2 linked regions of the Diceros bicornis minor genome follow. The protein of the gene in region 1 interacts with the protein of each later gene in a pairwise test. Links are inferred from orthologs where the notes say so. Each region holds a gene or a part of one and is shown on either strand. Other genes may lie near its edges.

Region 1 (7,390 bases):
ACTCACTAGGCATGCCGCCCATCTAGCTTCTGTCACAGGACGCAGGGCGGGTGTGAAGTACGCTACTTCAGCATCCCACATGTGGGAAAAGGTGAACAAGGAAACTGATGGACAGGGAGGTTGAGGTTCTTCCCCAGGATCCCCTAAGCAAGCTAGTAGTAGGTTCAAGGTTATGAACCCCTGGCCTCAATCCACTAGGCTGTTACCTTGCTCTTGAATGATGAAAACCTGCCTTATCTTTTCAGGATAAGATGAGACCTGGAGAAGGTCCCAGGGGCCTGGGAACACTCCTGCTCTTAGGCAATGACTCAAGGTCATCGGAGGGCACAGGATATTCCATTGGGCGGGGCGGGGGGGCAATCATATCCAAAGGATCCACAAGTCCCCCTTCCATAGTACAGTACAGGCTCCAAACTGGCTGCCTCCTGCTACCAGTGACTTGGCATGGTAGCTCGCCAGGCTGCGGTGAAGGCTATTTATCTGCCAGACTGGAGCAGACCAAGCTCGGTCTGCCCTGGAGATAGCACGATTGAGAGCAGAAAGGGCTGCCTGCCAAGTCAGATGACAGCAGATAACAACAGGACATTTCCCCCGAAGGTCTGTGGAGGACCACATTTTGTGGGTCTGTTGTGGGATGAGATCCTTGAGGTGGGGAAAGGCAGGAGTGACAGCAGTGGCCGGAAGCTCCTAGACATGGCCTGGGAGGCTGGCGGAGACGAGTCTGCCTGGCCTGTTTAATGACATAGTTTAAGCATTCTCCTGCCTCCTGCCTGTTTTCTTTCTCCAAACTGTTAAGCTTGGAGTTAATTACTTACAATTAATAATCATAATGAGAACGATCAGTGGTCCTAACAATTGCAACCACATAAGATCATTTATCTCAGTAGGATCAAACTATCGCCTACAAGCAACCCAGGAAAATGCCTTCAAGAACGATGGACCTAGCCTTTATTTGGCACCCACCCGGCACTAGACATTGGTCGCTCTATGTATGTTACTTCATTTATTTCTCATGACCACTTTGTGTCGTAAGAGATTATCTCCTGTTTTACTGTTGAAGAAACTGAGGGTCAGAGAAGTTGAGTAACTTACTCAAGGATGTAAATGGAAGAAAGAATATATTTTTCAATCAGGCCTTATTGCCACTTGAACCAAGAGATGGAGTTACCACAGGAAGGGAACCACTGTGGACTTTTTCACTTGTTTGGAAAATACTCATGTGCAACTTATCCAACAGACCAATTGCATTCTAGATAACCTGACCCTAAATTCCAGTCTTCGTAATTTTTTTCCTTTCTTATATCTGGGGCTACAGCATCCACAGCTTTGTTCCTTTAATAGCCAGGGGCTCTGACATATAGTGATGAAATGATTTGTTTAATCATAAATTAACTATACAAAGGTAACCCAGAGGGAACGCAATCTTGTAGCGAGATTTGTGACTTTGAAGACACATTTTTATCTGGAAGATTCAGGATCTCAGAGATCTTTTTCTCTCCTCTGCTGACAAAACTCTGAACCAAGTAAGAACACTAGCGTGGGACAAGCCATAGCCACCACTCAAACACACCGGCTCAGGGGAAAAGAAGAGACACAAGGGTCAGTTACAGAACAATACAAACCTCCAAGGAGTGAGAGAGAAATTGGCAACAAGCACAGGGCAGATTCTCAGTGGTGATAAGGAACAGTCTGAGACAAAAATCTTCTGAGCTTGTTTCCATTTATACTTTTGGAGAATTGACATGCACTTTGAATTTCTGGGAGGATGAATACGAGCATAATTCCTAACAGGTTATTCTCTTGCAAACATATTTGCTAATTGAAATCTCAGAAAAATCGCCAATGAAAAATCCCTCGCAAGTTGATTTCTCTCCCCAAGTTTTCCAGCTCATCCTAGCAGGGAACTAGGTTTGGAGATGGTTTCTTTTCCTTTCTCTAACAACAGCATTGTGTGTAGAGTGTGGCTACTGGGCTGACTAGAACAGAAGTAGTACCGGCTGTGTGATCAGGATTAAGAAAACAAAAATGGATCCTAGAGGTAAAATTACTTCAAGTCAGGTCCTAGCAGAACAATCTCCTCGGTATATTTGCCATCAAAAGAAAAAGAGAGGAAAAAGTGGAGGAGTTCAGAAAAATGAAAAATCAGACCTGAACTTACATTCTTGTTAAGCACTGAGGAAATAATCTTTACTTTAACTGAAGCTCAGCACGCAGCCAGTCCAGGTCTGAATATGAACAATTCTAGTCCAGACTGCAAAGTGATTTTAAAAAGTGTCCAACCAAGAACAAAGAAAACAGTAGACTTTTTTTAGAGAAGAAAGAGGGAGGAGAGAACTGGAGTGGAGGGCTTCTGAGGAGGGCAACAGAAGTTACCCATCTAAGTAACAGACTTGGGGGGAAAAACAAAAACTTTAGGAACATCTCACAGGTTTAGATTGAAATTGCCTCTGGTAAGATGAACGCAGAGAGTAAGGCAAAATAAGGCAAATAAGGCAAAAATAAGACAACTCCGAATTCAGTCAGTGCTGGCCTCCCAACCCCCATGAAACGGGCTGAACAGGTCTGTACCTTTGAGTCAAGTTTCAAAAAAGTCTCCACTCCTGGGTTAAAAAAAAAAAAATCAGATTAACTTCCCAGACAAGCAGAGGCTGGATTAATGATTAGGAGAAACAAAAAGGATTAAATATCTGGCCTGGAAGGACTTTCCTGTACAACCAAAATGTCAAAGGCATCCCTCTACTCTTCCCTCCCAAAAGGGCTTCTCCCTTTGGGACAAACACCCAGGGCTGAGCCATTGAGTTTATATTTTTCATTCAAATTCCTCATTCAGATCCCTCAGGGGCCAGTGGTCTAAACGCCAAGAGAGAAAAATGGAGGTTTCAGCTCACCTTTTCAAGTATCTGGGGCTCTCAAAGCAGCAGCAGCCTCGAAGCTCTCATGCCTTGCGGATGAATCCCACAGCTCCCTGGGCTGCCTGAGCAGTGAACAGCCTCAACCTCTGTGTACAGGTGCCTAGAGGAAGGAGGAGGGCATTGGTCGGTCGGGAGCAGGAAATGTGTGACCTCACGGAAGCCTGGACTGATAAAACATTGCTGGGACCTTAGCTATTGAAACAGCCAGTAGGTCCCGCCCGCCTGTCATTTACCTGAATACCTGCAAGCAGGTAGGTGGTGTCCCTGGTGGACAAATGAATCAATTAGAGCAATTTGCCGGATGGAATTTACTTTCTTTCTTGAGCACAGCACGTGTCCAGGCCCGTGGACAGATCTGAATTTATAGGCCTGGTTGCTTCCCAGGGCCCCTCCTCCCACCACCTCCCAAGAGCTGCCTACAAAAGAGTTAAAAAGGAAGTTTAAACACCGAAACGAGACGGTAATTTAGTGGGCAAAAAAGGAAGTGTGTGAAGATTGACTGCTTGGAAAATATGAAATTTACCCCCACATGCCTTTTTGAATGGTATCCATTTGAATTCCAAGTGCTTCTCTGTTCCAACAGAATAACAAATTGGAGGTGACATTTCAAATTCATTTTTTTTTTTAAAAAGAAATCTAAATATGGTATTTGTCAGCAGTTTCGAAGTCGAGTTTTCAAACACTTTTTCCCTACCCCCCACCCCCTCCCAACATCTTAATTCCATGTTCAGGAGTTTGTAAAATTTCAGTCCTTCTGACCTCAGCTTGCCTAGCAGTTAGAGTCACGTGGAGGTTACAGTTCACTGTAGGCCTGCAATTAGGAGCAATTTAAATGATTCAGATTTGAAGGATAGTACAGTAATAAGGTGGCAGCGTTGACTGCTGTGAGAGCCAGGAAGGAGGAATCGGAATTGTTTCTGTCCCAAGCTTGGTGTGTGACCCTGGGCAAGTCACAGTGTTGCTTCAGCTTTTCCAGCAGACAGAGACCTACAACTCAGCCGGCACCACAGCGCAGCTGTGAGTGATTACCAGGCCTGTTCGACTCTTGGGCATTTTTCAGAGGATTGTAAACAACTCCTATCCTTGTATTAAATGTTGTGTATTTCTGCGGCCCCCTTCCGGCATCTCTGGACAGTTTATTCACTCTCTGGAATGTACTACCTGGAAAAATTGTGGGCTCTCCCTCTAGGGTGGGTGGCCTGCTTGCCTAGAGAGATATTTTTTTCTCTTGAAGAAAAAAATGTTGAAATTCCTATTTTTTCCCCCTATTCTGTCTCTCTCTTCCCCTCTTTCCCCTCTTCCTGATACTGGAAATACTTTGGTTCCACATGTTCTAACATTGTACTACTTTAGAGGTTTGGGGATCATTTGCTTGGTTGGGGTTTTGGCTGGGGGAAGGGGGGAAAGAAGGATAAATGGGAGGGAGATGGGGGAAGGGGGAGGAGGGAGGGAAGGAAGGTCTCAATTCCATTCTCTTGGCCTCGACATTGACTGGGTGCAGCCAGTCATTCAATACCTTGTAAAACAACCAGGGAGGGAAGGAGGAGAAATTCTAGTCAAGGGTGCTGGTGTGGTGGGCTCTGGATACTTCACTTGCCGGAGAGCTAGCTCCTCTCTCCTCTTAGCCGACAGCAGACTGCTCTCAACTACCCAGGGAACTTGGTGGCTCTGAAGAGTGTTGGAAGCTTAAAAAACAAAACAAAACAAAACAAAAATCCCCCATCCTCATTTTTATCCAATAGAAACTAAGACAGGTGTGGCTACCCCTTTATTATTGACAAGAGCAAAAAGATGAAGGCTGCAAAGCTTTCACATGCAGGTCTTTTAGGAAAAAGTACCAGTCCAACAGTTTGATACTGAACTGAGAAACACCAGCACAACAAAGGCTTCTCCTTCCCTGGACAGGGTGTCCTCTGGGAGAGGAGGAGGAGCAGAGTGAGCCTGCCAACCTGATGAATCATCTAGAAGGCCTTGCCTCCAGCAGTCTTTGTAGCAGCCTGCCTACCCTGTGTGTCAGTCATGCCTCACCTTTTTCCAAGGGCACCAGGTCTGACTTGGGAGGCAGGAATCACAGACAGGTTTTTTTTTGGTGGTGGTGGTGGGGTATTTGCAGGGGAAAAGAATTTGCAGGAAGTGACAGTGCATAAAGCTTTATCCAAAGGCCTCTCAAGGCTACAGGGTTTCACTTGCTATATTCACATATATACAGCCATCTGCATATATAGTCTGATGAATAAAAATTAAGAACAAGAGTTGACCCAGGAGTGGAATTCACTCCCAGGGATGGTATATAAAAGAAGAGAAAAAACTAGATGTATTTCACATAGTCGGCCATCCCAAGTGAGATGCATTTGATTCTCCTGGATTTAGAATAATCTTTAAAGGTTTAAAAAATCAATATGTGCCTCATTATTCCGTTAGGGCTGTTGCATTATTATGGAAATGATATTTCTTAAGTATTGGTGAAAAGATATAAATAAAAATTATAAAAAATAATTATAAAAAATTATAAATAAGTGTTTAGCAGGTGCTACTTACTGTCTAAGCACTTTTTACAACAACCCTGTAAGTTAAGCACTCTTTCTGTTTACTGCTAGGAAAACCAAGGCGTAGAGAGGTGAGAACTTGCTTAAGCACAGCACAGCCAGCAAGTGGCAGGGCCAGAACAATTGTAACTGCTGGAAAGAAAGGGGGGAAGGTTCTGATTTCATGCTCACTGGGCAACTGCCTGGGTACTAATCGAGGTTCTTACCTACCCTCTATTCAGAAGCAAGTGTCTTGTAGAAGTAGCCCTGGGGTGTGTAGTTTCTGGGGAGGAATGTCTCCAATTGCAAATGAATGAGTAATCAGGTTTATGCACTGAGTATATATATATAGAACATACATACATATGGATATATTTATACGTGTGTTTATCAGAAAACACACCTGGAAATCCATCACCCCTGGGTGCACACTTGAAATCATCTTTTGGAGGCCCATCAAACCAACCTCAAGAAGGGAAGGCCCCAACTCAAGGGGTCCCGCCAGAATGATCGGTTGTGACTCTCTATGACATCTTTTATGGTCATTTCTCTCTATAACTTCAACAGTCTATCCCTTTAAAATCTGAAAATCTTAGCAGAACGACCATAAAAACATAGAACAACATACAGTTGGATAATATGAGACAATGTAAAATTAAGCTCCAGTACATGCCACTGCCAAGTGAGGTGGTTTAGACCAGGGTTGGCAAATACTAGACACACACTGCCCCATGCCCTCCTCGCATACCATTTTCACTGTCATTGCTAAAAGGCCATGGCAGCCTTGAGCTCAGAGGTAACCTCGGAATCTTCACAATGTAAGTCCAAGCACAGCAGCAATTTCTATCCCTCCTTTGACAGTAAGTGGGAGGGATAATCAGGAAAGGAAAAGGTTGGTGTTGGCTGGTGCCATTGAGGAAGATTCCACGGAGAATGGAACATGAATTGGACCTTGAAGGATTTGGAGAGATGGTGAGAAGGGCAACCCATTCCAGGCAGGGCAGCAGCACAGATGGAGGCAGGGATGACCCCAGCCTGCGTGTGGTGGGGAAGGAGGGGCGTGGTGGGGGAGGAGGGGAAAAATGATTCACCCTGCTGGGGTGAAGAGGATCCATCACACACTAAATTTGGACGGGTAAGGTGGGACCAGATCATAAAGAACCTCAAGGGCTGACTGTTTCAGGTCCTCACATTACTGCTGACTACTTCTCTCATGATGATTGAACAGCTTAAAAAAGAAAAGAATGAAAGAAATTTAGTATCTTGGGCATGGGGTAATTTGTTAAGAGCGACAGTGTTTTCAGTGTTGAGCTAAACTTCCGTGGTCTGCCATTTCGGCTACCATATGACCATCTTTCTCTTTAGAAGCAAGCCGCCTTTGCAGTCAATATATCCTGTAAATTTTGTTCTTTGGAGAGGCAGGTGGAACGTGTTAGAAAGCTCTCTGAAGTCAAGGTTGGGCCTGTCCTCGTTAACCAGCCAGCTGACTTGGGCTTTTTGATTAGTTTGAATTCTTTTATGTATCTTGACAGGGAAGTCTAAAGGGGGAGAGGAGGCCTCTGTTCAAAGCTCTTTCCTTCCAGATCACCACAATGAAGGTTGGCATTCTCAAGGATTCCTCCCTGGCGATGAACCTATTGCTAAGACCATACCTCGTGATTGTAAGAATTACTTTGCCCTTGTTTGCTTCCTTTTTTTTTTCATGGCATATTTGTAGAGTTGTCTAAGATGACTGAATGCCACAACAAAAGTGAACATATTCCATCTGATTTTAATAAAAGGCACCTCTAGAAAAAACCTCTTTGGCTGAAAGTATTTAGTATTATGAAATGGAATTGCTGTACACATTCCATCATATTGGCCTCAGTTTTTTAAAAAAACTAGCTTAGCTCCAAATCTTTCATTGGCTAATTACAAGTACTTAGCATGATGCAAATAAGCAGATCCCAGGAG
Region 2 (6,894 bases), on another chromosome or scaffold:
ACAGAGGACTTCTCTTCCTAAAATGCATCCTCCATCACTCTGTGTCCCTTGCTTCATTTTCTTCTTATAATGTGAGTTATCATTTCCTAACATTCTACATTTACTTATTTGGCTGGTTTTTGCTGATCTTGCCCTGCTGGAGGAAGCTCCATAGGGTGGGGACTCTGTCTTGCCTCCCATTGTATTCCCAGCACCCAGAGCAGTGCCTGGCACACAGTAGGTGCTCAATAACTATCTGCTGAATTAATAAAATGACAAGGCTAGGACTGGAACCTGAGTCACCTTCCTCCAGAGGCTCTTCCCACTAAGCCATATTAGAGGCAGAGAACCCAGGGCCACGAGCAGGGTTGGAGCTGGGGGTGTAGGGGGGGATGTGGCCAGGGCAGAGGCACTGACCTTGACGGTGCAGATGAGCACTCGGCCAGGTGCCACCATGTTGAGGAACAGCACCATGGCCTCATCCTCATGAGGTGAGTACGTGTCAAACACACGCTTTGCCATCACATGGCCCTGGCAGGGGACACAACTCTCGTGAGTTAGTGTCATCAGCAAGGAGGGCTCAGCTTTGGCCCTCCAGGTCCTCCACCCCTAGAACCTCACCGTAGCCTGGTTGAGGACGATGACATGGATGCCCCGGCCTTGCTCCCGGGCCTCGTCCTCCAGTACCTACAGGATGGCAGAGAAAAAGTCCAGCTCTTTACTTTGGCATTCAAGGCCTCTCTGTCCTATGGGCACTTAGAAAACCAGCTGCATGAAACCTCCCCTCCTGCCTATGCCTCTGTTCACACAGTTCTCTTCTAGCCTTGCTTGAAGGCCACCTCTTCCAAGAAGCCTCCATAGCACTCTCAGCAAAAGAGACCACATCTTTCTACAAGTCTCCCCTCATGGCTTTCATGGCTCTGAGAGCCCTTGACTGTTCCTCTCTCATGCTGGAGATATTACAATCCATCAGACTGAGCCCCTCAAAGTAGGGCCAGGTCTGATTACCTCTAGGTCTCCAGAGTGTGGCACAAGGCTGAGGCCAAAGAAAGGACCAGGAAGTAGTTATGAAATAAATAAATCAATTAATTAACTGCCTACTAATACTAATGATCACTTTTGATAATATCCCACTACATCTAAGACATTTCACAGGATTTTCATTTAATCCTCACAAGTAGAAATCATTAGTCATAGTCCACAGATGAGGAACTAAGGCCTCCAAAGTCACACAGCTAGAAACTGGCAGAGGTGCAGTTCCCACTCAGGCAGTGACCCCAGAGCCAGTGGACCACGCCCTACATAGAACAGAGTGACTACACACCAGACACTGGCCCACTCACCGTGGTGCCATCCACTGCCACGTATACTTTGCTGCGGCTCGAGTACACCTCCACATCCAGGACCCGTTGGGGACCGCTGCCTCTGCGCCGGGGAGGCTCCAATCGGCCCAGGGCCTCATCTGCGGGCGTGCGACAGGTCATGGAAAGTCTCTCCAGCAGAGTCTCACCTCTTGGGATCTGCCTGCCATTTCAGCCATGAGATCTCAAGAGACACCCCCCTCCCCACCAACCCGAGCATCTTCAGCCTGGCCCCACCATAGTCTTGCTCTGGCTCTGGGTCTTCGTTGGCCTCGCTGATGGCTCGCCGCGTGTCCAGGATCAACTTGATATTGACAATGACGGTCACGAGTAGGAAAAGCACGGCCCCTGTCTGAGGGGAGGGGTGGGCACGACTAAAGACAGGCACCTCCTCCAGCTCATCGAGGGTCTTTCTGAAAGGAGGGCCCCGGCTGTAGTGAGGACACAGGGAGAACCTGGGGCCTGTCTCTGCTCCCTATGTCTGCCCAGCTCTACTCCCTCAACCAGGGTCCAGTTTCATGACCACCTCCTCCAGGGAAACTCCCCTGACCCTTCCCACTTCATCAGGGCCCTCCCTACCCAGAGCTCCTGTAGTCTTCCATTTGAGGCCTTGATTTCCCTGGTCCCCTCCACAATTAGTTCCTAGAGATGGAGCCAGTCCCAGAGAACCAAGCTGGGGATCAGAGCCCTGGGTCCTAGCCCTGACTGCCTGACAGGTGTGTGCCCCTGGGCAAAGCCTTCCTGATCCGACTTCAGGTTTGTCAGAAGCCTGGGAGGTTGTACTTGGGTTCTGATTCCAGAACTCTGGGGCTAAACCGCTACCTGATAGGAACATGGCACAAAGAGGTTTCCCTCTAGGAACCTGCTGTCCCTTTCCAGGGTGGGGGCAGCCAAGGTAGGTCCCAGTGCCCACAGTCTAGGCTGGGGTAAAGCTGGGAGGCAGCCCCCGGGGAGGTATGGGACATCTCTGTACCTGACAGAATCTCCGCAGGGCCCGCTGGTTGGTCAGTTTATACTTCCAGGTAAGATACCAGCTCCGCTTCTTTCGAGCCCCAAAGGGCTTGATGAGGGGGCTGGGCTTCCAGTCGTCCATGCTGGATTGGGGGGTCACCGCTGTCCTGGCCAACCCATGCCTTCAGGAATCTTAAGGGACCAAAGGGTCACATGGGGTAAGGTGTTCCTCCCAAAGTCTGATGCCTTCTGGGGAGATGAGGGAGGGCCTCCCAACAACTCTTCCCTGCAGGCATCCATGCTGTGTGACCTGGGGAAAGTGGCTCAACTTCTCTGGAAAGAAAAGCTTCAGAGGGGTCAGATTACCTGGAAACTCCCTTGGGGTTGGGGGAACTGAAGGGTTGCCCAGGGTCCCAGCGGTGGAGGCCAAATAATCGGCTCTCAAGGTTCACCAGCCCCTAAAAGGCCCAAGACCCAGCCTTCTCAGTCCTAGAGCGGGCACAGGGCAGCGACCCACCCCCCCCTCCCCGTCCTCCGTCCTCGCCCCCTCCTACGTGACCCAACTCTTCTCCTCCCGGGGCTCGGGGCTCCCGACGACTCGGGCGACCTGCCCTGGCCGCGTCACCCCTCCAAGACCCCCGCCCGGAGGCACTCACGGCTCAGGGGCCGCGAGCCTCGCGGGAGCCCCGCTCGGGCCCGCACGGCTCGGCCCGGCGCGCCGAGGCCTCCGCCTCCTCCATGCCGCTCGCGGCCCCGCCCCGGCGCGGCCCGGCCCGCCTCCCCGCTTCCGCCGCCGCCGCCGCCGCGGGGTGAGAGGGCGGCGGGCGGCGCTTAGGGCGGCGCGGGCGGTCTGCAGCCCGTGACTCCGCGAGCGCTCGGAGCCGCGGCCGCTTCGCGGGCGGCGGGATGGGGGCTGCTGGGGGAGGGCAGCCTCTCCGCCGCCATCACTGCCGGATGGCAAAGCGATGCGAGTCGGAGTCCTAGAGCCTTGGACCAGACCCCACGGCGCTCCGGGGTCAGAGGGGCGACAAGCCTGGGACACAGCGACCCTGGCCCCTTGCTTGGGCGAGGCTTCTCCCAGGTCTGGGGCATGCAGGGCCTTTGGAGGCCGAGGGACATTAAAAACCTGATTCTGCTAATCACCTAGACCTTGGGCAAGTCACTTCAGGTCTTGGCGTAGGTTCCCTTCTCTGTGAAATAGGGGTGTGCTGATATGATGCAGACTGTATGCCAGTCAGTTTTAAACACTTTACTTATATTAACTCATTTAATTCCACAACAACCCCATGAGGTAGGTACTATTACTAATGAGGCCCAATGTCACCAAGCTGGGAGAGCTAGAATTCAAACCCAAGCGGCCTGGCTCCAGAGTCCACTCTTAACCCCTGCACCATAGTAATACTTAGAGAGTTGATGTGAAGGTTACATGAGATAATACATATAAAGCAGTTAGCTTAACACAGTGGTTCTTGAACTTGAGTGTGCATCAGAATCTGTTGGAGGGCTTGTTAAAACACAGATTGCTGGGGGGCTGGCCAGGTGGCGCAAGCGGTTAAGTGCGTGTGCTCCCGGGCGCACATGGACGCACTGCTTGTCAAGCCATGCTGTGGCAGCCGCCCATATAAAGTGGAGGAAGATGGGCATGGATGTTAGCCCAGGGCCAGTCTTCCTTGGCAAAAAAAAAAAAAAAAAAGAGGAGGATTGGCAGATGTTAGCTCAGGGCTCATCTCCTCACAAAAAAAAAACACAGATTGCTGGGCCCCATTCCTAGAAGTTGATTCAGTAATCTGGGGCAGAGAAGAATGCTGCATCTTTAAGAAGTTTCTAGGTGACAGTGACACTTATTTGAAGTAGGTAGCCATGGAACAGTTTTAAGCAGGAGAGCAACATAATCTGATTTAAAAGAACTTTTACCTTTTTGTGGAGAATGTGCTAATAGGAAACAGGACGCCAGAAGACCAGTTAGATTTTTCTGAGCTCTCCGTAGTCCATCTGTTTTCTAAATGGTGGGATGATATCCCCCAAAATGTTAACAGTACTTGTCTTAGGAGTTGAGGCAATAGGTGATTTTTCCTAATGACTACGTATTAGAACAGAAGAAAACTCAATACATTTTGTTATCATTTGAAAAAGATGTCCCTCAGTGTTCCTCCCTGACTCTCGTCTCTCCTCAAACTCAGTCTCCCTGAAGATCTCATCCCCTCTCCTGACCTCGGTTACCTTCTTGATTCCTAGACTCATATCTGCAGTCCTAACCTTTCTCCTGCGCTCCAGGCTGACCTGTGTCCAACTGCCTGCTGGACATCTTCACAGGCCCCTCCAACTCAACACGACTCCTGCTGGAATCATCTCTTCCCACTCCTGGACCTCTTCTTGGGCTCCCTTGCTTGGTGAATGGCCTCAGGCCAAACAGCTGGGAGTCACCCTTGATTCCTCTTCTCTGTTCAGCAACCAGTCCACGTCTGTGTGCTCATCACTTTATTCTCTGCACCACACACAATGGCTAGCACATAGTAGGCTCTCCATAATACTTATTGAAATCTGTCGTTTTTTGAACAAATATTTATTGAATGCCACTATAAATAAATGAGTGTAATTAGTCACCAAATCGTGTCAATATTACCCCCTAAAGAGTCCTTCATTCTGGTGTCATTCTTCTCCAACCTCACAACCAGCCCCTGGTGCAGTCCTTTTCGTTTGCTTGCCTTCCAACTGCTCTCCCTGACTCCAGATTTTTACTCCTCCAATCCTTTCTTCTTGCAAAATCCAGAGTAATTTTTCAAAAAAGGAAATCTGTTTTGTCAATCTCTGATTTAAAACCCTTTCATGAATCAAGAGATGTTAAGGAGAAATATATTACTTAAAATTACGAAGGTAGGGGCCGGCCCGGTGGCGCAAGCGGTTAAGTGCGCGCGCTCCGCTGCGGCGGCCCGGGGTTCGCTGGTTCGGATCCCGGGCGCGCACCGACGCACTGCTTGGTAAGCCATGCTGTGGCGGCGTCCCATATAAAGTGGAGGAAGATAGGCACAGATGTTAGCCCAGGGCCGTCTTCCTCAGCAAAAAAAGAGGAGGATTGGCGGATGTTAGCTCAGGGCTGATCTCCTCACAAAAAAAAAAAAAAAAAAAAAAAAATTACGAAGGTAACCATTGAATGAACTAAAAATAATGATAGAAATAAATAGGGCCAATGGAAGAAGGGAAGTAAGGAGTGTAAGTAAGGTAAGTTGTATTTATCATAATAGGAAGTCAGTAGACAATTTTTAAAATGAAGAACTAGTGATACAGTATAAACCTATGTGGTGTTATAGGTATAAACACCAGAAAAAAATAGCTAAAAGTGGTTGCCTCTGGGGAGTGGGACTAGAGGTGGGAAAGGATAGGGCAGGGGTAACTATGTTTTCATTGTAAATCCTTCGGTAACCATGGACTGGAATTACTTGGATTAAAATCCAAAACCAAGCCAAACCATAAAAAGTTTTTCATGGCTCCTCATTACCTGTGGAATAAAATCTAAGCACCTTAGAACCATTTTCCATTACCTTGTTGCTCAAAGTGTGTTCCCTGGACCAGCAGCATGGCCATTGCCTGAGAGCTTGTTAAAAATGCAGAAGTCCAGGCCTCACCCCAGATTTACAGAACAGTAATCTGCATATTAACAGGATTCTCAGATAATTCATATGCACAGTCAAGCTTAAGAAGCATCAGTATCAAGATCACGTATGATCTGGCCCTTGTGGACCTCTTCAGCTTCAATACTGGTTGCTCCTCATTGGCCAGAAGAACTTTCCTTTCCACTCCTTTAGTCTAAATTCAGTGGCCAGGGGCCGGCCCGTGGCTTGGCGGTTAAGTGCGTGCGCTCCACTACTGGCGGCCCGGGGTTCAGATCCCGGGCGCGCAGCCACGCACTGCTTCTCCAGCTGAGGCCGCGCCCCACATACAGCAACTAGAAGGATGTACAACTATGACATACAGCTATCTACTGGGGCTTTGGGGAAAAAAAAAAGGAGGAGGATTGGCAATAGATGTTAGCTCAGAGCCGGTCTTCGTCAACAAAAAGAGGAGGATTAGCATGGATGTTAGCTCAGGGCTGATATTCCTCCCCCAAAAAATAAATAAATAAAAAATAAATAAATAAATTCAGCGGCCACACTGTGGGTGTATGCGTGTGTGTCAGTGACTAGCTAAATTCTAATCACTGTTTTAGACCCAGCTCATCTACTCCAGGAAGCCTTCCAAAACCCTCTGCAGCTCTTTTATCACTGTTCCTTAAATTCCCATAGCTCTAACTGAGGATGCTTAGCCTTCATTCAGCAAACATTTATTGGGCGCCTGCTGTGTGCCTGGCTGGATTCAGTGCCAGGGTAGGGAGAAGGCGTTCAGCTCTCCGAGGGCTCCTTCAAGTCCAAACCCAGAATCGCCCAGCCGCACGCATTCCAGGGCCAGAGGCAGCGTGCGCAGCACTCGAATATATATATATACACACACGCAAACAGTGTCCTGCGCGGCTTTTCTGAGCGTTACGGCGCCCTCCTCCCGCCCCTACGCGGCGCGGGCGGGGACCCACCGGTTCCGCTCCGCATTAGCAGCGGAGAAAGGAGGACCC

The links.
Region 2: the proteins of LNX1 (region 1) and POMGNT1 interact in binary tests that used the Homo sapiens proteins (3 or more experiments, as listed by UniProt). The link is inferred for Diceros bicornis minor from reciprocal best matches to the Homo sapiens genes LNX1 and POMGNT1.

What each region holds. Positions count from the first base shown.
Region 1 is NC_080747.1:41,675,747-41,683,136, forward strand, and holds the start of LNX1 (E3 ubiquitin-protein ligase LNX), read right to left. Parts: upstream 3,013-7,390; 5' UTR 2,889-3,012; intron 1-2,888.
Region 2 is NC_080752.1:9,096,445-9,103,338, forward strand, and holds the start of POMGNT1 (protein O-linked-mannose beta-1,2-N-acetylglucosaminyltransferase 1), read right to left. Parts: upstream 3,023-6,894; 5' UTR 2,948-3,022; intron 2,777-2,947; exon of another isoform or gene 2,484-2,776; 5' UTR 2,434-2,483; coding exon 2,314-2,433; intron 1,693-2,313; coding exon 1,578-1,692; intron 1,442-1,577; coding exon 1,323-1,441; intron 667-1,322; coding exon 601-666; intron 511-600; coding exon 397-510; intron 1-396. UniProt on the Homo sapiens protein: Participates in O-mannosyl glycosylation by catalyzing the addition of N-acetylglucosamine to O-linked mannose on glycoproteins.